5 linked regions of the Nothobranchius furzeri genome follow. The protein of the gene in region 4 purifies or fractionates together with the protein of the main gene of each other region. This does not show direct contact. Links are inferred from orthologs where the notes say so. Each region holds a gene or a part of one and is shown on either strand. Other genes may lie near its edges.

Region 1 (4,489 bases), on a different chromosome or scaffold from region 4:
CTCTGTCGAACACCTGGAGGAAATAATAACGCAGCGAAATCTCAAGGCATGTCATCACCCAGCCCGAAGAAAATGCTTGGGCTTGGCTCGTCGGACCCAGCGCACCAGCGCATCCTCGGCTATTTGAGCTCGAGCTGCTGGAGCTGAATCACAAATGTTTACCGAAACAGAAGGCATGTCTCTTAACTTAACCCACTTCACATGGTTGTGACTCACAGACCAGCAGATGTTCTGCAGTGTAGCGCACAATAACGACCTCTGGTGTCCAACCCCTGTAATAAAGGTACATGGTGGTTATGAAAGCAGCACTTTTTTCTTTTTTGGCTAGAACTTTCATAACTTGGCATCAAAGATGAAGCCTGGTGGATCAGAGTTGAACCCGATCCCGACTGGGATGTATTAACAAGACTTCACCTCATTCTGGTGTGCATTTCTTCACAGTTGAAGCAGTCGTTCTTCTGTGAGCAAACAGTGTGGAAAGAGCTGAATGGCGAGCGGCGGGACATGAGAACATGTGGTCCAGTCAGTAGACAGGCCGACCTAATCTCCCCTCCTCCCCCTGTTCCCGTCACTCCCTGGCTCTCACAAAGGCTTCATTCATCCTGCCTCTGCCATACTCTGCCTACATATTTTTCTGCTAATTAGTATAGGCTCGTCAAATGTCTTCTTTTCTCCCTTTGTCTCTGTTGTCCCTGTTTTTATTGTTGCCCTTTCCTGTGTGCTACGATGGAAAGTGGGAAAAATAAAGCTCTGTTTTACTTGCAGAAGGTCCCAGAGAGCACTTTTGGAGCTCTAAATAACACATTCAGATCATCGACATATATACGATTCAGATGTATCGTTTAAAGGTGTGGAACACTGAACCATTTAAAATGTTGTTTCTGATTATGATCAGTCACTCTTGAGTTTTTCATGCAGGCTGAACATGAAAATAGTCTCCTACACCCATCTCCTGCGTTTGTGTCTGATAGAAAATAGACGGTGAAACTGTAGGATTTGAAAAGTCTGACAGATCTACGTCACATTGTTCCTTAATATTCATGGACTCACCTATGTTGACTCGTGAACATCCCTGCTAGTAGAAGCTAACCGTTAGTGTTAGCACCTCCACACAGCAGAAGCTCCTCCAGGCTTGTGTTATTTGTAGAGATAAAACGTCTACGAAGCACGCCAGTGGTAGTCGAGTTGCTCCGAGGCAAGATGTCCAAATATCAGGAAATAGGACTCCAAAACCTGCTGTTTGAAGCTCGGCTGTGATGTGGCTCACCTTTAGGTCCTAGAAATGGTGCACCCGTATATTTCTTCTCCCTAGAAAACGGCGTGCAAGGCATTCATTCCTACTAGAGACCACTGCAAATGTACAGTGATCCCTCGCTACTTCGCGGTTCGTTTATCGCGGATTCACGACTTCGCGGATTTTTTCTTTGGAGCCTTATTCAAGGGAAATTCGCCAATTCGCGGTATTTTTCAGCAATTCGCAGTATTCTATGCGAAATATCAAGAAATTCCTGTTTTTTTTTCATCAATTTCATCATAAAATGCACTTTTTGTAATAAAACTATAAAAAAAAACAAGTAAAAATACAGTACTATGTAAAGGGAGGGTTTTAAAAGTCTGAATACTGAATACGTACCTGTTAAATAAATACTGGAAATATGGTGTCCCTACTTTGCGGATTTTCACCTATCGCTGCCAGGTCTGGAACGCATCTACCGCGATAAATGAGGGATCACCTGTATTGATTAAATGAGTGTTCCACACCTTTAATGTCGGAGAGCAAGTAAAAGGTCAGAAATAAAAGCTTGTGAGTTTTGCGTTGATTTAAATCCTGGTGGACAGCTAATAAGCCACAATTTGTCTCTACCTCTTTTTTCCCCATTCCCAGTGGGACCTACCACTCCCGGGATGAGAGCACAGACAGCGGATTGAGTATGAGCAGCTACAGTGTTCCTCGCACTCCAGATGACTTCCTGAATAGTGTGGATGAGATGGATACAGGTGAGTTCCTCACTGGGCGTAATTACCATGTAGTTGCTGCTTTATAAATATTTAAATAGAACGATAACTCCTGTTTTTAGTATCCTGGGAGCGGTTACTGCTAATCTTTCTATGCTGTTAAAGGAATCTTTGTCAAATCTTCCAGAATACAAGATACCAAAATTGCAATTTTAGATCATAATTTAGATCAGCTTCTCCATTTCCCTCCAACATCAATAAGAAACAGTCCCATCTGATTGCAGAATGCTTTTTTTTAGCATCAGGGTTTATCTTTAAATGCAGCTGTTGAGTTTGAAGGTTTTCCCAATTATGAGGCTACATTGATCACACTGGTGGAAATATTTTTTTATGTTGGAGGACTCTTACGTCACACTCTGCCAAAACTTTTTACCATCGTTTCTGCTTTTTAAAAATTCTTGCCGTCTGCAATTCCGAGCAGGCCTCTCGTCTGGCCACCAGGATATTTCCCGGTGCTCCCGATGGCCAGTCTGCTACTGCCTGTTATCTAAATGCATTTGGGGTCATAGGTTAAGGTGGAAAAGAGGGTTTGACTTTTATTTATTTATTTTTTGAGGGGTTGCATTTCAGCTACCGTACCTACACGAGTCTATCAGGATTTTTCCACTCTAGGACAAAAAACCAACATCAAGGCTCCTCGCACAGACCGAATATATTCCTGCTCCGTTTTCTGTGTATTTTTGCCCTAAAACTCTAGATTTGCTTAAACATGAAAAACATTCCGGTTTTATCATTTGCCGGAAAATTAAAAGATGTTTATCACTTTCATTTGTTTTTCTCCTCAAGCAGATTGATTTGGTTCAGTTGTTTTATCTCAAACTTGTCATCTTTTCCCATTCATCAGGGGACCAACTTCCGCCCTCCATGGCAACGCAGCCCAACCGTTTCCCTGACTACCTGGACGCCATCCCAGGAACAGACGTGGATCTTGGCACCCTGGAGAGCGAGAGCATGGCGGTGGAGGGCGAAGAGCTGATGCCCAGTCTGCAGGAGCCTCTGAGCTCCGACATCCTCAGCGACATGGAGTCTGTGCTCGCAGCCACCAAGATCGACAAGGAGAGCTTCCTGACATGGTTATAGAGGACCGGAGCGGGGCCCTCTGAACTCCTCCTGTCTCAACAATCTGAACATCTGCCTGGCCACATCTGTGAAGGAATCCACGTTTGCTCTTTTACCAGACATTTCAGCGAGCCTCTGAACTTCTCTCCGCGTGCAGGGCTAACCTCTTTTCAGACAGTATTCTGGTCTTTTTTATTTTTTATTTTTGTCTGTGTCTTCAAGGCTGGCCTGTGAACAGACAATTTATGCAAGGGCCCCTAAATTGTTCCCAGGTCTTTTTGGTGAGTGTAGGGCTTATTTAGTCGGAGCGTAGCTGAACTGGGCAGATGCACGAACTCTTCCGTAAGGACTGCCTTTTACTGCTCATCACCTGGAGTCTCTGGAGCCTCTCTTGTCTTGCAGTATAGCACGAAGCAGCACTACATAACTGTGTTTGGGGCTTTTAGTTTCATAGCTTTATATTTGGCGCCTTTTTTAAAAAACATAAACAAGCCTGAAAAACCAAAAATGATGTATGTGGAGCATAAAGAACAATACTGATTTGGAGTGACGGTAACGTGAAGCCCATTTTGGACGTGTTGGCTTTGCTTTTTGGGGCGTGGGGGGTGGGACCAGGGGACCGACTACATTGCTGCTTGGCTGTGCCAGCGAGCCTAAGTTAAACCTTTGATCGATCAAGTGCCTTCAGATGTATTTTTTTTTTTAGACGCGAGCGACTCGAATAAATACCCAGTTTCTGTAATGCAACAAAAAGTATCAGGCTGTATTAACTAATATAAGCCGCATGTTCTTGTTTGTGGATCAATAATCAAAAACTATTTTATTTTATGTACGTAAGGTGGTTTGGGGGATCTTTTTTAACCTCTAGTGTCTTTGTATCATCTTTATCCGAGCCTAACACTCGTTTTATTAGTTTTTTCCTTTTTCTTTTATCTCGTTACACCTGTTTGGTAGATTTTTTCTTTTACTCGGATTCATTGAAACATTTTTGTTATCAGGATCAGCTGTTCTCACATCACAAGATTCAGTCAAGCAGAACACTTTTTTTTAAAACATAACCAATCGTCTGATTCTTCTTTTTTTTTTGCTTTACTATACATATATATATAAATATATATATAAACGTATACATATTAGTGTTTTTGTTGATCACGAGCAGCTTGTTACTATATCTGCTTAAACATGAACCAAAAAAAAAAAGCAAAAAGAGGCAGATCTATAGACTCTATAGAGAACTTTCCTCAGATCAGTTTTAGCATGTGACAGTATAAACGAATTTTAACGTTCGAAACGGTCTGAAACCCCGTGTGTGGTGCTGTGTTGAGTGTTTTTATTGATTACAGCTTGGGGGCAAGTTTAAGCAGGCTTTAGAGTCACGTTACAGGAAAAACCGGAGGTCGGGGTTTGGCGGATG
Region 2 (5,421 bases), on a different chromosome or scaffold from region 4:
CTGACCCCTAGTTTCATCGAGCTAACATGTACGATTAAAAACACACCGGAAATAATTACGCCGTGTTTATAAAATAAAAGCAGCACGTCTCGTGGTGGAAGGCAAAGTGGCGTTCTGTGTTTTATTTTGAAACAAATGTTAACCGAAAGTACTTTTATTTTGAGAAGCTTAACTAGTGTTAACCCCTAACCTCACTGAGGGTCCAACAGAAACATCATACAAACATGACAAGTAAAAATATTTATTAGATTTTTGAGCATTTGTTTGGAGCTTCATTTCAGTTCCAATTTATTAAATAAGTTGTAAACACAGTGTTTTATAGTATAAATTAAGCTTCCGTTTAGACAAGTCACATTTCCTCATAATTTAAATTCAAAGCAAACGATACTCAAGGTCAATTCAGGTCATTCAAATGCCATCCAGTGTGACTTGCTGTTCCAAACACACTAGGCCCACTCATTATCTGATTCATTCCAGTGACTTTTTTTCCGGAACTGCGCTGCTCTGGGTGGCTGCATGTTGGAGTAGCTCTGTTGACTATATGTAAGTTTAGCCTTTTCTTTAGCATTTTTTCTTCTAGTTTCTCAAGAAAAACTATTTTTTGGACACTTTACTTTTCTGTTTCTGGTGCTGTGAAGCTTGGAGGATTTTTACTGCTATTTTTTTTAGCTTTTTTCACTTTTTGAGCATTTGTTATGATGTGTAACCATGGCAACAAGCTGGTTTACAATCGGGAGCAGCTGATTAACATTGGAAAGGCTGAAATAATACCTCAACTGAAGCCACAAATCCCAAATGAGCTAAAATGCAAGAAGCGTGGGTGCAGAGCGTGAGCAAAACGGAGACACAGAGAGAGAGGAAATTCAAACCATCTCTTCCATCGATCATAATGGGCAATGTGAGATCACTGGTCAACAAGATGGAGGAACTCCAAGCCCTTTCAAGGACTCAGCCAGAGTTTCGGCTGTTCGGGAACCGCTGGAGGAGATAATGCAAAGAAGGATTCTCCAGAGAATCAAGAAAATTATGGACAACCCTGAGCGTTCTCTTCACAAGACTGTCCGACAACGGAAGAGTGTCTTCAGTCAGAGGCTTCTTCAGTTTCGCTGCAACACTGACCGCTACTGGAGATCCGTCCTGCCAACAGCCATTGTAATATACAACAAATCTTTGATGGCTTGATTATTATTATTATTCTGATCTACTACAGCAATCAATTTCCCTCTGGGATTAATAAAGTATTTTTGAATTGAATTGAATTGATTACATGCTGGTCCAAGTTCATTCAGTAGTGATTAACTTGACCCCTATTAATTCCAATTTAGTTCAGTTATTTGCAGTCAAATCCAGTCATGTTATGATAAAATTTAAATTGTTTCATTAAACACTATGTGTAAATGTGCATTCAACGCATAATTTTACCACTTTATATTCCCAAACAGCAAAATTCTGCTGCAAGAAGAACAATTCGTTTGATTATCTTTGGTGTGTTCTTGCTGTGTTGAAATTCTAATTCCATCTTTTAGTTTTTTTAAACACAGAAAGGTTTTATTTACCTGGGTTTTGCAGCCGCAAACGAAACGTTGCAGGTAAATAAAATCTTTCTGTGTTTTAAAAAGAACTAAAAGATGGAATTAATTTGATCACATTTTAAACACACCGCTCACTTCAGATCAATAACACTAAAACTGTGTCTTGCGATGGGATCAACATATTAACGTGCGCCTCATTGTATGATTTTTCAGATAAATGCAGTAATAATGATTATTAGACTTTTTTATTCATTGCAATTTGTTTGAATTTACATGAGCAAATGATTATAATTACTTTTAGACAATGATTGCTACTTCTGATAGTTTGAACATTTTATCTAAATATTATTTAAAAATATTTGTTGTTCACTGCTTTCATTAGAAGCGCAACAACAGCATAAAAATATAAAAAATACTATTGTTTCTCTAATCTGAAGGGAGTTTTATTGTGAAAAAACGTCTTTTCGTCACTTCCGGCTAATGTCGAATTCCCATAACATCTAACGAGAGCTGCAGCGGAAAGCTGAAGGTACATCTATTGTCAGGAAATTTGAGCCAAAACACAGAAAATAAGAAAATGTCAGACACGGTAAGACCCCAGTGTTTGTGGAAAACAACAAATCTTCTGTCGGAACTGTTCAGAAGACGCACAAATTGATTGTTTTTTTAGGCTCGTTTGGTTATCTAACATGCTACTAGCCAGCTAACGTAGCTTCAGGGACACAAAACACAGCTCTTTTTTGACCTTTTAGATAAAAATTTTGCTGTTATTTTTTAAAATGTCCAACAGAAACTGCGTGTTATTATATTTTATAGTCAAGTCGTTCAAAAAGATGAGCGATTTTGTTAAACAAACCTTCGAAGTGAACACTCAGGCCTGTTTGAACGTGGGTGCGTGTCTGTATTGTGCTGTTTATGTTGTTTGTTTATTTTTAAGGAGACAAAACCATCCAGTCAAGACGGCGGCGATAAGAAGGATGGCGAGTATATAAAGTTAAAAGTGATTGGTCAGGTAGGTTTTAATATCATTACAGCTAGTGAGATGGCTTTAGTCTGGTTATTCCTGCTTATTTACTGATTCACTAACTCTTTTTATATAACGGCCCTCCATGTAACCATTTTTTTAAATGGTTTTAAATTCATTTTGTAATTTAGTTTGAATTTACTGGCTGTAGTTATGTCCAGATTGGTATTAACTGCTGCAATTCTTACTGTTTATGCATTTTCTCAAATTATTTTACATCATTAGACTTTTTGTAAAACAACGCAAATGCTGCTAGAGAAGCATGCAGCTTACCTTAGTCTAGGCCAGGGGTCTGCAACCTTAACCCCCCCCCCCCCCCCCCCAATAAATAACACTTATTTACAACTACAGCTGTTGCAGAATCCTTCTGTAAAAAGTAATTTTATTAGACAAGACAGCATTATTTTTATAGCACATTTCCTCCACAGAGGCAACTCAATGTGCTTTATAATAAAGAGACAATTTCCATCTTTCACTTCTTTTTACAACACAGAAAAGGTTTCATTACCTTCAAAGTTTCGTTTGCGGCTGCAAACATCGTCAGGCTGACGCCGATGGTGGCGTCACTTCCTTCGTTTAGCGGGCAGCAGAAGACATCGTCGCCCTCTGCTGCCCGCTCTCCCCTCTCCGATGATGCAGTCCCATGCGCGAGCCAATGAGTAAACTCCATCGTCTCTGTTCATGGTCCCACATCCTTATCTCGATAGCTTCTTTTATCCATCTTTTGTTTTTCTGTTTGGTGTTTATGATCCTTGTGTTATCCCACATAATGGACTGGGACAACACAAGGATCATAAACACCAAACAACAGAAAAACAAAAGATGGATAAAAGACGCTATAGAGATAAGGAGACATGGATGTGGGTCCATGAACAGAGTTGATGGAGTTTACTCGTTGGATCGCGCATGGGACTGCATCATCGGAGAGGGGAGAGCAGGCAGCAGAGGACGAGGGCGACAACGTCCTCTGCTGCCCGCGGATAAACGAAGGAAGTGACGCCACCATCGGCGTCAGCCTGACGATGTTTGCAGCCGCAAACGAAATGTTGCAGGTAAATAAACCTTTTCTGTGTTTTAAAAAGAACTGAAAGATGGAATCTGAAACTAAACACAGCAAGAACACACCAAAGATAAATAAAGAGACAAAACAAAAACACAAATGAACATTAGGGTTACATAAAAAGAAAACATTGAAGACTAAAGCTGGAAAATTACCATAATATCAATGAAACATTGAGAAGAGAAATAATGTGGTCAGTCAGGAATGACTAAGTAGGTGTAAGGAGACTAAAACTAAGGCAGTAAAAACTGGTACAATGAACTACAAAAAACTTGTTGAATGTCTCTTTTTCTTTTAGAGAATTGGGCCACTGAAAAACCAGTTTTTCCCCTCAGAATTCTGAGAAAAAAAAGAGACAAAACTCTGAGATTAAAATCAGGATTCAGACATTCCCCCTGAGATTATAATCAGAAATATATTTTGTCATATTCTGTAAATATTTTTTGAAGAGATTCTGCTATTAAAGAGCAAGTCACCCCCAAATCAACTTTTTTTTTCTGATAAACTATATAGTGTGTCTAATCACGCTGCAGACACGTGTAGTCAATAGTTTTGTACTTTAGTGCATTTTAGTTCAAATTGTAATTTTCTGCCTAAAACTGTCAGTGTTGTGCCGTTGTCAGGTAAAAACCCTGCACTGCATTAGAATCTAAATCTGCCATCGCTATTGGCTAAGAGGTATGCTATGATGTAAACTGGTCCTTATGATGTCACAATGCCGTTGTGAGCCTGTGTGTGTATTTGTTAGTGGCTCCGCCCTCTCGGTCTGCCAGGCAACAGCATTTGTTGCATTTTTCAAACATGAAGAGGGAGTGAAGTAAGTTTCTTGTAGGGGGTGACTTGCTCTTTAAGTTATAAAATTTAGAAAACAAACGTGTGCGTACACAGTATCACTATTTTTTCTTTGGATGTTGATATTTGTTAAAAATGATGTAAAAAACACAAATAGATGTAAAAATAAGTACTGTTGTGGATATTCAATGCAATTATTCCTTAAAAAACTGAAATGCTGCCTAAACCTGCATTTGTTTTTTTTTTTTAAAGTTAAATAGATTTGGAAAACACATTATTTTATATTATGAGCCAAAGTTCTTTGAGCCATTGTGGAAGATCCAGAAATCCTTTTGGCCTTGTCGTATAGGGTGTGTGATTTTTTTAATGCAACACGTTTCCCTGTATACATCAGACGTCATATGTGTGATTGTAATCCTTCTAAATGCTTGAATTTCAACATATTTTAGAGGTTTCTAACAGGCTTGAGTCTGATCATGTTGTAATTTGATCATAGAGACAGTTCATGCAACATCTCAACAACTCACCTTGAAAATGCTTTAATCTGACAAACATGTAACAAGCAGTAAATGAACAGATTCTCATTGCTGCCTCACCCTTTTGTTTGTGCAACAGGACAGCAGTGAAATCCACTTTAAGGTGAAAATGACCACACATCTAAAGAAACTCAAAGAGTCGTACAGCCAGAGACAGGTACGATCAGCTGTAGCTCCTATTGCTGCTCGATTCTTTACTCTAAACCAAACAAAGAGAAACTCGACGAACCCAAACGTCTTCATGTGTCCTCTGGTGCTTCTCTCACAGGGCGTCCCAGCGAGCACACTAAGGTTTCTGTTTGAGGGACAGAGAATCGCAGACAACCAGACTCCAAAAGAGGTAAACATGGCCGCCGTGGCCTTATTATTCTGTCATGTTGATGCTGAAACTGTTCTTAGTGTGTTCATTCTCACCGATCTGTTTTGTTTACGCTCTGAACCTTTCACTGACTCGTTTATCTGGGCTGCTGTCGTGTA
Region 3 (4,709 bases), on a different chromosome or scaffold from region 4:
TGCTGTTGCTGTTGATGGCTTTACCTATTCAGGCAGAGGAGGATAGGTGGGTGGATGAAACAAGGGATTTCCTCTCTCTCTCTCTCTCTCTCCCTTTCTCTCTCTCTCTCTCTCACACTCCGTGGGCTTCAGAGCTCCTGAGCAGTAACTTTCTGCTGAAAAACGTTTCCAGCAGCTGACGGCGCATCAGCGACACATTCAGGAGTCGGGAACAAAACAAAAGGAACAAAGTGTTTTATTTTCATCTTTTATTTATTAAAAAATGTAGATTTATCCTCCTGAGACCTGAGCTTTTATCTGTGGAGCATTTATGTATTGTTGTTATTTCATTTCTATGTTTCTGTTTTCATTTTACATTTCTAGCTATTAGAGATATTCAGGATCTCACTTTGGTTTTTAACCGTCACAAGTTCAATAAAAATGATTAAGTTATTAGAAAAGGTTTCTTTAAATCTCTCTAAGAGAAACACCAGGTCAAAGGTCAGCATCATACATTATAATCCAACACGGCGTCTCAGGAAGATGATGTCATCTAGAAGGTGATTAGTTTAACTTTACTGCTTTAAGTAAATAAACAATCATTCAACATGTAAAGAAATAAATACATAGCAGAGCCTTATGACCCAACGTGGTCGTAGCTAACCCAGACGGACCCGAACCGGGTTCTGATGCTCCTGATCCATCCAGGCTACAGGCCAAAAGCTCCTGTCCTCATTCTGGATCAACGTTTGTTGAGACAGAACCTTCTGAACTAATCTAACCTCATTCTGGACTCTTAAACCATAAAAACAGCAAGAAAAACAAAAGAGGAAGGTTTTTCTAAATAAAAGGCTCTAAAAAAGAAGAGACTGTTTGAAAAATCTGAAATTTGCAGGAAAGATGAGTCACACAGAGACTTTGAGATGACTAAAATATCACTGATGAGCAATAGGATAAAGGTAGGAACAAGTAAAGGTTTTTCAAAGTAAAAGTCAGAAAATTTTCTTTTTTAATGATGTTGTGTAAAAAAAACATGAATCAGGTATAAATAAAGAGCACATAACTAAAATGATTCTGATTAACAATAAAAATACATAATAAATGCAAGTTAGAACAAGCAACAGCAGCTAGAAAAACCCAAATAAATCATCCGTTTATGTAGACGAGTTTATTTTTTTATTTTTATTTTTTTTTCATTTAACATGTTTGTTTAGATCTGCTGCAACGGGAATAAAGATGGGAATTCTGGGAAAGTTGAGCAGGATCAGAGCGAGGGGGTGAATGCTCTGGCGTCATTGATGTCCCCTGGCACGATGCCAGCAGACCCAGAGGACTGTAGCTTTGGGAACGCACGCACACACACACACCTGTAGATGGAGCCCACTTGGGACCTGCTGCAAACTCTCCTCTTTCTTGCGAGTTTCTGCGTCATAAACACCCGCGTCCACCAATCAGTGGGGATGAATGAGCGCATGGGGTCGGGGCCCCTGGATGAGTCGCTGGCAGCATGCTGGAATGTCTGAGTGATGTCACACGTGGAGCGAGGCACTCACCCTGTTAGAGGCACGCCGGAGCCATCATGATGAAGCTCGTTAGAGGAGAACAGGAGTTTGGTTTGTGGGATCTGTCACATCCAGCTGGTTCTCATCCTTCTGCAGATGATCGGGAAGCCCAGCGAGTCACCCGTGGGTCGGCAGCACCAGAGCCACCCGGAGGAGACAGAGGAGGAGCTGAGGGAGCACCAGGACGGAGGAGTACTGCCGCTGGGGGTCACCATCAAGCAGGAGCCCCCAGACCCACAGGAGCTGCAGGAGGAGGTGCTGCAGCAGCACCTGGAGAGACAGGTAGAGCAGGAGCTGCTCTTCAGACAGGTAAGATGAGTTAAGCAGCTGAATGATGTGTTTACACTGCCACCTGCTGGTCACTCGCTGCACCCACACTTCCTCCTGCCCTGTTATCATCTTTACTTTTTAAATACTACTGTCAGAGAAGAGTGGATTTGTTCTGATCTGACCAAGGGTTCAGGTGGGTTTTACAGGTTAAGCCTTAAAAAAGGGTTCAGTCCTTCAAAATAAGAGTCTCTACATACACAAATACCTCAACTCATCTGAAGCTGATTAGAGCTGGTTTAGGGTGAAACTCAAAACTGCTTTTATAAGTATCCGATGTTTTCTCCACATTTTGACTTTGATAAAAGTAAAATAATCATTACGAACAGACATGAACTTTCTGTGGTTTTAAGGTGGCAGAAGGAGGTCATAACACACGGAAGGGTCTTTTAAATGTGATCTCTGGGCCGTGTTTCCCAACTGATGAATAATCCTGGTTTCCTCCTTTATTCTCCCCTCTGAGCAGCAGGCTCTCCTACTGGAGCAGCAGCGGATTCACCAGCTCAGAAACTATCAGGCATCGATGGAGGCGGCCGGTTTGTCCGTCTCCTTCCCAGGACACCGTCCCCTGTCCAGGGCCCAGTCGTCTCCAGCTTCAGCGTCCTCGTTTCCTCTCAGCGTCCCTACAGCTGATCCTCCCGTCAAATCGCGCTTCACCACAGGTTTGCATCGTCATCATGTCTCCCTTCTGTTTCTGAAGCATTAGGGACGGAAATGTTTAAAAACCGAACCTTCTTCTTCAGATCTCCTCTCTTAAGTCTCTTTAAGGAAGCTGTTGGTGTCGGTTTTACCTGCATTAACGCAGAAGAGAAGGAGATATTTGTAGTTGGGCCGTTTTACCCCCAGAGCTGCCCGGATCAGAACCACAGACATTTGTTTGTTCTGAGGTTAGAACTCAGGTTGTGGTGAAACTGGGCCGTCTGCTTTCCCACCCAGGTCTGGTGTACGACTCCCTGATGCAGAAGCACCAGTGCATGTGTGGGAACACCAACAGCCACCCGGAGCACGCCGGGCGGATCCAGAGCATCTGGTCTCGGCTGCAGGAGACCGGGCTCAGAGCGCAGTGTGAGGTAGGAGCCGTGGGTGCTGACGGTCTTGCTCTGAGGCCAGATGTGTGAAAGCTGTTGTGTTTGTGTGTTTAGTGCATCCGGGGGAGGAAGGCCACTCTGGAGGAGCTGCAGACTGTCCACTCTGAGGCCCACGTGCTGCTGTATGGAACCAACCCGCTCCGACAGAAACTTGATTGTAAGCCTGGAGCTCAGAGTGAAAACACTTTGCCGCTGATCTCCTCTAACGGACGTTACATCTGATCTGCAGGTTCGGTAACACCCATGTTTGTACGGCTCCCGTGTGGAGGAGTGGGGGTGAGTGACGGCATGAAAGATCCGACGGTTTTATTGTCTAAATGTATTTAACCACTGCAGCAGTTAAACATCTGGGTGTTTCAGGTGGACAGTGACACCATTTGGAATGAGGTCCACTCGTCCAGCGCCGCTCGCCTCGCCGTCGGCTCGGTGGTGGAGCTGGTTTTCAAAGTGGCCACTGGAGAGCTGAAGGTAAAATAATACTCTCATTCTATTCAAAAATGATACTTCAGCCATTTTGATTTGGGTTCCTGTTGGAGGAAAATCACTTAGGGAGGTTTTCTGACCTACGAGCCAAAGCTGTAGTAACTTAGTAACTGATGAGTGGGTTACTAACTGATCAGTAACTGAGTAACGGATGAGTGAGTAACTGAGAAACTAATGAGTAACAGAAATGAGTGTGTAACTGTGTAACTAATGAGTAACAGAAATGAGTAACTGATAAGTAACATCATTGTTAAAGTTTACCAAATGAAACTCAAACTTCTCTGAAGTTTCGTAGACTGGAGCTTCATAAAGATGACACCTGTGCTCAGACTAGCCGTTAGCTCATCAATCCTTTAGCATGTAAATACTGTGTCTTCAAACTGAGGCTATTCAGGAAGCTATCTACATGGTAAATGGCCTTTTTTTTGATACAGCACCTTCTAGAGTCCTGGAACCCCCAAGGTGTGTTACAACACAATCAGTAATTCACACATTCACACACTGGTGGTGATGAGCTACATTGTAGCCACAGCTGCTCTGGGGCGCACTGACAGAGGCGAAGCTGCCAAGCACAGGCGCCACCGGTCCCTCCGACCACCACCAGCAGGCAAGGGGGTTGTGTCTTGCCCAAAGACACAACGACAGACTGAGTGGGGCTCGAACCTGCAACCTTCTGACTATGGGGCGAGCACTTAACTCCTGTGCCACCATCGCCCCGTTTACATGGTAAACTTTCCAGATTAGAACAAAAAGACGACATCAGTAAAATCTTACATCTGTAGCTCAAATGTCTGAATTAGGGCTGTCACGGTGTGAAAATTTAACCTCACGGTTATTGTGACTAAAATTACCACGGTTTTCGGTATTATCGCGTTTTTTTTTTAACGTGCTACATTTTCACACAATTAAATAAACCCTGTATGTCAGGGAATGTTGTCCTCAGTTTGTGTCTAAATTTTGCCTAAAATGTGTTATTTTGTAATTGTGTTGTTTATTTGTTTACATTTTTCCCCTTTAGTCTTTAAAATACCAATATTTGCCCATAACTTCTTATTTTTTGTCTGTTTGATGTCATCATTTAAAAAATATTAGATCAGATGATACTCAGTACTCAAGTAGCCTTCTAATCAGATACTTTTTTACCCTTACCTGAGTAATAAACCCTATATCAGGAAAATATTGTCCGCGGTTTGTGTCCTTCCAGTGAGCTTTGCAGATTTGGGAAAATGTCATAAATTCATAATTACCGGTATTCTCGGAGAGAGACCAA
Region 4 (4,709 bases):
GGATCCCACTGTTGGACAACCACAAGATGTCAGTATGCTACTTTCTGATCCGATATCTCCACATGACATGACGATACTAGTGCAAGTACCTGAGGACAAAGTTGACACAGACGACACACTGTGGCTGTGAGTTCTTGTTGTTGTAGATAACGGTGGCCTGCGTTTCCACCCAGACAAAGCCTCCTCTTTTGGCCAACATCCGGTACTGACCTGTGGTGACCTGGCCCTTCGCAAACACTGCAAACAGCAGAAAACACGGTCAAAAGTCACGAAATAAACAGCGACGTTTTCCAATTTTACTCTAGATCTATGCTCTTTGTGCTTACAGTGGTGGTGAGTCTTTGTGAGGTGGTCAGAGTCCAGAGCGTGATAGTACTCGTACACAGAACGATTCAGCAGGTCTTCTGGATCGTATCCCATCAGCTCAGTGATCCTGGGAACAGAAACAATGTTGTAGTACCCACACTGAGCACTAGGTGTCCCCGTGGGACTCCAGATTCTCTCACCTCTCATCACAATATGTGAACTTCATGTCCATGGTGTGGCGGCTGAGGAACGTCTTGGTGTCCAGAGGGACCTCGATGTTGGAAGGGTGGGGGATGGGGTCACAGATCAGAACCAGGTAGGGGAGCAGTGGCTCCATCTGCTCTGCTCGATGGTCATGAACACACATGTGACCCGAGCAGTGAAGGACCTACAGAAACACGTTTTCAAACCAAGAGGGAAACTTTAATCTTTCTGTAATTATTATTTTTTACTTTAAGTAACTTTTTTAATTTAGGAGCCCGAGATGCTCCACAGCTTCAACACTTCTTTACCTTCCATGTAGCCGACTTGACATTAACCGTGCGACCTCTGCTTGTGAGGGTGCATTTCATCCTCAGAAAGAAATTCCGTTCATTATTTGGTTCCTTGCTTTTTTTGGAGCCTGGAATCACAAAATTAAACAGATATGAATCCAGAGTGAGGCAGAGTAAGCCAGCAGTAGATTGCTCTTTTTTATTGGTCCCAACTCAACAATCTACAAACTGCCAACTGATAAAATTTGCATCAAAAGGAGACATTTGCTCTGATGCTGTGGCCTTGTGGTGAGCTAGAGGATAAAATGGAAATAGCTACCAGCAGTTAGAGCCGAGGCGGTATCAGTGAGCAAAGAAATAACAAAAAACACAGGTCCTAAATGTAAGAGTGAACCGAAGCAGAGAGAAGATTCAGCAAAACTTATCTCACTAACGAGAAGCAAAGCAAAGATCTGTTATTGATGATTAAAAGGTCGGAAGATTACTCAGCCACTGCTCAAAACCGGAGTGGATTTTTGTGTCGTTACTAAGCAGAGCTGACCACAGAGTGAGTTGGACTTTCTACCATCTGGAGCACCAACACACCCGACAGAGAGCTCTGTGTGTGCGCGTCTCGGTTTCTCTACACATTTGTACTCTTCAGTGCAACACTGCTCACCTGTTCTACAGAGGAGCATCTCTCTCAGCTCCTCCTGGTCGCAGGGATGTGTGAAGTCAAACACACTGTGGCCAGTCAGGTCAAACTGCAAAGGCAAACAAACAGAAATATACTTTTAAAACACAAATATATAAATAGAGCTACCAAGAAGTATTCATTTAAAGCTTAAAAATGTGCACTTATTTTTTAATTCCCTGCTTCAGACCCACCTGCGCCAGCCCAAGACACTTGCTGACATTCTCCGAGAGATAAATCATATCGCCGTCTTCAGACAGCACCATGAGGAAGCCCTCCAACGCCTTCAGGTAGGACCCGTTCAGCTGAACATCAAGCTCAGTTTCCCCCTCTTCCATTGGCTTATCTGGAGCATTGAGAGAGGGAGCAAGGTGGGTGATAAGCTAAAGGACAAATAACCGGTTCAAACAGCTGCAGACACAGAAAAACCACTCCTCTAGCCCCAGGTGTTTCTGCAGAGAGATTATGGCAGAATACGCAGTACCTCCTTTGTGTTTTCCACTATAGGCTACATGTAAATGAAGTGAATTACTCTGAAGTCAACAAGATAACAAATATGACAAGCATACTGCAGGTACATGGTTAACAGAGCAGTGGAATGGTTTATAATCATCTGTCGCTACAGATGCTGACCACTGCAGAGAAGGTTCCTCATGCGCAGGTAGCTGATGGTCAGCCTCATGATGGAGGCCTTGTCCAGGCTTGAGCTGGTGCTGTGGGGGAGAGGCAGCTGCTTGGCCAGCTCATAGAACACCTCCGACTCCTTCCCACGGCGGCATCTTGCTGCATCCCTTGATTTCTCCTTCCTGCGCTCCGAGCTCACCCTGCAGGAGACAGGAGGTGGATCAGCCTCATGCTGGGTTTGTTAAACGTAAAAATCCCTTTTCCCAAAACTGAAACATGTCTGCAGAGGCCAGCGCAGCTGGAGCATTCAACAGGCTGTCTCAGCCCAGCCAGTGCAATGCAAGCGTCCTATTGGCTGCTGAACAAACGAAATAGGACTCGCCCACTCAAATGACTACACAGGAAAGAGTCAGAGCTCAGCCATCCCCCCACCCCCATCCCACACACTGATTCAGACATTTTACAGTGCCATTTCGGCTAATGTGACCACCGCTGAATCAAAGCAGGGCTATTGATTCTTCAAGTGACTGAAATCACTACACTATAAAAACTTAATGAGACAAAATTGTTAGATTCAAGGTAAGAACAAGAAGGGGTGCATCAAATGGCCGCTTTCATTCAAAAAATGGTTGTGGGTTTAATATTATTTTGAATGATGTTTGCTGTTGTCTTGATTCAGAATCAAAAACAAAAGAAAAACAGACGATATTTGGAGAAGGAAGGCCTTTTGACACAACACTGGTCTCGCTCGGCGGCCATGTTTAAAATGTTCACTTGTTCACTCTTTTTATTGCTCATTGTCAATGGCGTGTCCAGTGAGTGGTCTGGAGCAGCATTTGCCACTCTTGGAATCTGACTGGCCACCCCAATGAGTTCCACTTAAATTGACATTAAGTTGTCCACAAAAAAATAAGGGTTAACCCCTAAAACAGTAGTCGACAGTATGGACTTTTAACATTAGTTTCTAGTCACAGGCCTACAGAACATTTGTGTATTATTAATTATTGTTTTCATATTGACAAAAATAGTATTCATAGTCCTGGTCCAAACTCACTCCAGTAGATGGCGGTAATGCACCAAGAAGTGGCTTGCTAACCACCTCAAAACAAGAAGTTGAAGAATAATGCAAAAATGTATTATTTTGTGAGGGGTGACAACCCCGCAGATCAAAACAAAAAGTATAACTATAGGTGCCACCCATGCATAAATTAGTGCCCCACTGGAGCCACCCATTTTAAAAGGCCTGGACACGCCACTGCAAATTGTGCCTCCATTATGTGCTTATAAAAAAATTTTTTTAAAGTCTGTGCTGTACTTCCTGTTCCACCTTATGTTGCTCAACATTGCGGTAAATAAACATAAACAAAATCGATTTAGAAAAACCGCGATGCCTCAAAAAACAGATTTCATCTCCCATTCATATGCCATAAATTTATATCACCAATCTTTGTTGCAAACTGCACCTCAGTAAGTTGAAATACATTTAGATGACATGTGAGCAGCCAGACGACCAAATGAACAGCTTAAAAACCCACAGCTATGAAATGCACACCTGATTGAAATTGATCTGGCACGCACTTACAGCACTGAATAAGGCCCTTTTGTTTTTGCCAGAAAATAGACCAGATAATGTAATTTGCAGGAGGCTAATTTTAGTTAACAGGCAGGCTGTGTTTCACACGAAAGCTTTCCATTACACACACGTGATGCACAAACCGATCCACGATAAAGCTAATTGGTCCTCTGCGGCTGGAAGATTTTCAATGCTGAGCCGAATCACCGTCCCTCGGGAAATAGGCTAGGTGCTGATTTAATCTAGCGAAAAGCATGTGGGTCAAAATTTCTATTCGGTGACATGAACACACAAACAGAAAAACACTCAGTGTTGCTGCTATTAAGTTCCATTTACAATTGGGAAGCTACAAAGTTATGCCAACGTAAATACTTTCTTCCTTCAAAGTCAGCGTTCACATTCGGAGGGAATTATATTCCAACTCATCCCAAAAAATTATTAGCATCCCATCCATGAGACACACGGGAAAACCATTTCTGCAAAGTGACGAGTCCAGTTTTATTCGCCACACCGTTGTGAACCTCGCACTCACAATAATGACTGATAAATACTCGTCTGTAAAATAGTAGTGGCTGTTCAGTCCCTTTATGGGAGTCCTGTAACATCTGACTAAAATACAACTTCATGTAATGGAGACAAGGTTCATGTGGAAGACAAAGCCCCCCCCCCCACCCCCCCCCCCCCACACACACAGGTGGTGAATGTATTCATACTAAACAGCAGATTGTCTAAAGTAGGGGTCTGAAGCCCTTAGTACCTTCCACAATGGCTGCTAATAACAGAGGCTAAAACAATAAAACAACTAACTCATGTTTATATCTATATTAAATTATCAATTTGCAGGTTTAAACAATTTTTCATGACAAAATGTACCAGTAAAATGTTTAGATTTCAGTTTTTCACCCAAAAATTCCCATAAACCAATTAAATAAAGAATATCCACATTGTAAAGGTTTTATTATTTTTCTTAACTTTAAGAAAATAAAAATTTACAATAAATCTCATGTAGTATATACACAGTATTTATGGGAGAGAGAAA
Region 5 (4,231 bases), on a different chromosome or scaffold from region 4:
ATCTCCAGTAGTGGTCAGTGTTGCAGCCAAACTGAAGAAGCCTCTGACTGAAGACACTCTTCCGTTGTCGGACAGTCTTGTGAAGAGAATGCTCAGGGTTGTCCATCATTTTCTTGATTCTCTGGAGAATCCTTCTTTGCATCATCTCCTCCAGCGGTTCCGAAACTGCTGAAACTCTGGCTGAGTCCTTGAAAGGGCTTGGAGTTCCTCCATCTTGTTGGCCAGTGATCTCACATTGCCCGTTATGATCGATGGAAGAGATGGTTTGAATTTCCTCTTTCTCTGTCTCCGTCCCGCTCTGCACCCACACTTCTTGCATTTTAGCTCATTTGGGATTTGTGGCTTCAGTTGAGGTATTATTTCAGCCTTTCCAATGTTAACCAGCTGCTCCTGATTGTAAGCCAGCTTTTTGCCATGGTTACGCATCATAACAAATGCTCAAAAAGTAAAGAAAGCTAAAAAATAGCAGTAAAAATCCTCCAAGCTTCACAGCACCAGAAACAGAAAAGTAAAGTGTCCAAAAAATACAGTTTTTCTTGAGAAACTAGAAGAAAAACTGTCCAAGAAAAGGCAAAACTTACATATAGTCAACAGAGCTACTCCAACATGCAGCCACCCAGAGCAGCACAGTTCCTCGGTAAGAGAAAAATCAGAGTTTTAGAAATAACGGGACACTCAGTAGAGCCATTATATTATATTTTTTACAAGTGTATGTAAACTTCTGACCACAACTGTAAGTTGCAATGGCCTTCCAACATGTCCCACGCTAATTTTAACTATTACTGTTTAGTTGGAATTAGGCACCAGCTTCCTGTGACCCTACTAAGGAAGAAGTGGTTCAGTTTATGGATGGATGAATGGATGGATGGATGTTGTCCACGCAATTATGTGACGCATCTAGAACAGTCATTCCCAAAGGTAAATCACCGATGACAGCGAAACTCCCATCTATTCATTTTCTGTCTTTGCTTGTTTCCATGGTTGCTAGGAACTGATACCTACCTGCATCCTTCAGTAGATGTGAGGTGGGTGCAGCACACACCCGGACACCTCACCAGTTAAAATCACAACTTGCATGAAATATGAAACAAATCTACCAAAGGAAGAAGTAACATGTTTGTGTGATTGGAGAATCATCATCTGCTTGACTTTTAATGTGAGATAATGTTGCTGACTGGAATGCATTCCAATATTTTAGTGTCAAAGTTGCCAATTAGTGGTGAACTCTTTTACAAATGAAACAATGTCTTTCGAGAAAAAAATTGACATAGACAGCAATGGAATAGACAAGAAAGGGCAAATTGTTTGATTAATATTTGACACTATTTTCTTCAAACTTGTTAAAACAAAAAAATCAAATGCAAACTGAAAATATTTATTTATTTATTCAAATGTACCCTTGCACGTTCCGATACGGTAGGTGGCAGCATTCAGAAACTGGCATTTTAATCTGTCATTAAAACCATAGAAGAAGAAGAATACTAGGGAAGACCTGTAAAACAAATCAAACCCGTGACAGCGGAGAATACTAACTGGGTTTTTAACAACTACATATTACACAGAGGTATGTAGTATGTAAGAGTCCCTGCTTAACTCGGGTGATTTGGTTTGTTTGACAGCAGTGCCATGTTTTGTGGAGGTGTCAGTGTGATTGTGGAGAAACTACTGAGATGACTTGCTAGCGATAGCTGAGCTGCCATTAGCTAGCTGCTATCACACGGAACGCTAACTGTTTCCATCAGATTGTATGCTATTCAAACGGGAAGAAGTAGCTTAGCATGCTAGCATGAAGCTAGTTAGCCTTTTAGCATTGAATCCTATTTTGGGATTGGCATGCCGCTAGCCAGTCACCTTTACTTAGCTTCGTTTATCGGGACTGTAAAGAGGTGTGTTTAGCACCGATCCTTCCTTCAGGAGAGACGCGTACGTGTATGAATGAAACCGGCTGCAACGACTAAAACTGTCAAAGTGTTTCAGTGATATTGTGTGACGTTTATTCAACTGACACAAGAACACAGGGCCTACGTTTCTTTACTTGATTTAATAAATGACTTCAGTGAAAGCAAAATGAAAGTTCATGTCAGTTATTGTCAGTTATGATCGCAACGCGGACACACCAGACCGTGTGTCCGGTGTGTTTTGTCCCAATGAACGTTGTCTTTGTACATTGTGTATCTAATCTTACTATCACAAGCAGCTATATGTGAGCAGCTATATCTAATGCTGTTTTTATGCCACTGGTTTAGAGGTGTATAGTTTATTGCAACGTCATTGATGTCATTAGTGGAGCAAAGATATCCATTTAAAAACATTCATTGGTTTTCTTCATTGATGTCACTATTCAACGCTTTCCTTTTGATTTCATCACTTGTATTCTGTTTAATAAGGACGTATTACATTATTAGATTGGTGAAAGAAATGGTATTACCAGAAAAAACATGATAAAATACAGATTCTTCAAAATATTAAATATTCACCCGTAACAACGTATTCACTATTTTTATTCTTCTGTAGGATAAAAGAGGAAATCTACAATGTCTTTAAAGCCACGGGTGGTGGATTTCGATGAGACATGGAACAAGTTACTGACTACAATCAAGGCTGTCGTGATGCTCGACTACGTGGAACGAGCCACGTGGAACGATCGATTCTCGTATCCTAGTTTCAGAGAAGCCATTTAATGTGTCTATATTTTGGATTGTAAACATGTACGGTAAAGTACTTTACTACACTGTGTTTATGTTTGTATTAGTGCAAACTCTTCGTTCTAACCCTTGACTGTAACATTAGTGACATTTATGCCTTGTGTGTTGCGTACCCTGAGCCTTTAGGGGAGAAGTTATACACAGAGACCAAAATTTTTCTTGAGAACCACGTTAGGCAGCTGTACAAGGTGAGCGTTAAAATACAATTCTTGCATTCCTGTTGAACTTAGCAGTCTATAACAGCTGCTCTACCTGTTTATGTTTTTTAGAAAGTTCTGGAATCGGAGGAGAAGGTTTTAGTTATGTACCACATGTACTGGGAGGAGTACAGTAAAGGAGCCGACTACATGGACTGCTTGTACAGGTAACACCCAGGCTTTTGATCTCATTGATATGAGAGAGTCATGAGGTTCATTTATTATTTATTATTAGATTTATTTATAATGTTACTAAAGAGTAGCCTTCACTACACTGTTCTATCTGAGCAGAAGCATTATACAGTTGGAGAACAAACTGAAGCTTCCTAGTTCCGGATGTAAACAAATGCCCCTGATCTGATGACTTTGAATCTGCACCATCATTTTCCAGCACATTTTTACGGGAAGTTGTGACTTGACACGGGTGTTGACCTCTGTCAGGGAGAGCAGATTGATTCTGTTCTCAGGGTTCCCGCGGGGTCTTTAAAAGTCTTAAAAGCATTGAATTTAGGAATTTGGAAATCACACCTTAAGTCTTGAATTTTGACAACTGGGTCTTAAAATTTTTGCTGCATGTAAATTATCCATACTGTATTTGACCTCAAAAGTTATATTTGTCAACCACATTAATTTTTGTTAAATAACGTAACATACATAGTGGTGGAACCAACACCACACCATTTTATTTATAAAAGCGCTTTCAATATGGCATTACAATCAACCAAAGCGTTGTACAAAATAAAACAATAAAAGGATAAAATAGTCGAGTCATAAAATTAATAAAAAAAAAATACAACGAAGAACCGTTTCAAACAAAAACAATAAAAACAAAAAATGATTAAAAGTAGTCAGACCACAGATTTAAGATGGGAAAAACCACAGTAGAAGGAGGTATGACAAACTGTTGATGCTAAGAATCGAAGGCCATGGAGAAGTAATGCATTTTCAGCCTCGATTTAAAGATGGGAAGCGAGGGTGCTCGTCTAACCGGAAGGGGTAGTGAATTCCAAAATTTTGGGGCACAGATACAAAAAAGCCCTTTCCCCGCGAGTCCTCAAACGCGTCTTAGGGACAGTGAGGAGGAGTTTATCTGCAGACCTAAGAGCACGAGAAGGGTGGTAGAAGTGGAGGAGTTTGCTTAGATAGGGAGGGGCCTGACTGTTGATCTTGAACTGAACGGGCAATCAATGCAGTGTTTAATATAATTCACAATGCAGTGCAGCCTTGGGTCAGAATACTCTGAACACGTGACATATTCAGCTCCCGCGCTACAGCAGTGATACAAAATGGTAAACATAGCACAGACCTCCAACAGAGGAGAAGAGAAAC

The links.
Region 1: the proteins of hif1aa (region 4) and yap1 purify together in Homo sapiens (affinity purification with western blotting; 3 studies listed by BioGRID and IntAct, with this or other methods). This does not show direct contact. The link is inferred for Nothobranchius furzeri from reciprocal best matches to the Homo sapiens genes HIF1A and YAP1.
Region 2: the proteins of hif1aa (region 4) and sumo1 purify together in Homo sapiens (co-immunoprecipitation; 3 studies listed by BioGRID and IntAct, with this or other methods). This does not show direct contact. The link is inferred for Nothobranchius furzeri from reciprocal best matches to the Homo sapiens genes HIF1A and SUMO1.
Region 3: the proteins of hif1aa (region 4) and histone deacetylase 4 purify together in Homo sapiens (affinity purification with western blotting; 4 studies listed by BioGRID and IntAct, with this or other methods). This does not show direct contact. The link is inferred for Nothobranchius furzeri from reciprocal best matches to the Homo sapiens genes HIF1A and HDAC4.
Region 5: the proteins of hif1aa (region 4) and cul2 purify together in Homo sapiens (affinity purification with western blotting; 7 studies listed by BioGRID and IntAct, with this or other methods). This does not show direct contact. The link is inferred for Nothobranchius furzeri from reciprocal best matches to the Homo sapiens genes HIF1A and CUL2.

Annotation. Positions count from the first base shown.
Region 1 is NC_091753.1:45,030,748-45,035,236, reverse strand, and holds the end of yap1 (transcriptional coactivator YAP1), read left to right. Parts: intron 1-1,885; coding exon 1,886-1,998; intron 1,999-2,860; coding exon 2,861-3,096; 3' UTR 3,097-3,305; downstream 3,306-4,489. UniProt on the Homo sapiens protein: Transcriptional regulator with dual roles as a coactivator and corepressor. Critical downstream regulatory target in the Hippo signaling pathway, crucial for organ size control and tumor suppression by restricting proliferation and promoting apoptosis.
Region 2 is NC_091743.1:83,213,455-83,218,875, forward strand, and holds the start of sumo1 (small ubiquitin-related modifier 1), read left to right. Parts: upstream 1-1,972; 5' UTR 1,973-2,109; coding exon 2,110-2,121; intron 2,122-2,469; coding exon 2,470-2,544; intron 2,545-5,023; coding exon 5,024-5,101; intron 5,102-5,212; coding exon 5,213-5,284; intron 5,285-5,421. UniProt on the Homo sapiens protein: Ubiquitin-like protein that can be covalently attached to proteins as a monomer or a lysine-linked polymer.
Region 3 is NC_091754.1:47,188,092-47,192,800, reverse strand, and holds part of histone deacetylase 4, read left to right. Parts: intron 1-1,637; coding exon 1,638-1,850; intron 1,851-2,334; coding exon 2,335-2,530; intron 2,531-2,804; coding exon 2,805-2,938; intron 2,939-3,010; coding exon 3,011-3,113; intron 3,114-3,185; coding exon 3,186-3,232; intron 3,233-3,316; coding exon 3,317-3,424; intron 3,425-4,709. UniProt on the Homo sapiens protein: Responsible for the deacetylation of lysine residues on the N-terminal part of the core histones (H2A, H2B, H3 and H4).
Region 4 is NC_091758.1:31,049,406-31,054,114, forward strand, and holds part of hif1aa (hypoxia inducible factor 1 subunit alpha a), read right to left. Parts: intron 2,298-4,709; coding exon 2,107-2,297; intron 1,820-2,106; coding exon 1,668-1,819; intron 1,544-1,667; coding exon 1,459-1,543; intron 929-1,458; coding exon 819-928; intron 695-818; coding exon 507-694; intron 434-506; coding exon 327-433; intron 238-326; coding exon 90-237; intron 9-89; coding exon 1-8.
Region 5 is NC_091747.1:38,640,973-38,645,203, reverse strand, and holds the start of cul2 (cullin-2), read left to right. Parts: upstream 1-1,431; 5' UTR 1,432-1,564; intron 1,565-2,514; 5' UTR 2,515-2,534; coding exon 2,535-2,653; intron 2,654-2,790; coding exon 2,791-2,893; intron 2,894-2,974; coding exon 2,975-3,069; intron 3,070-4,231.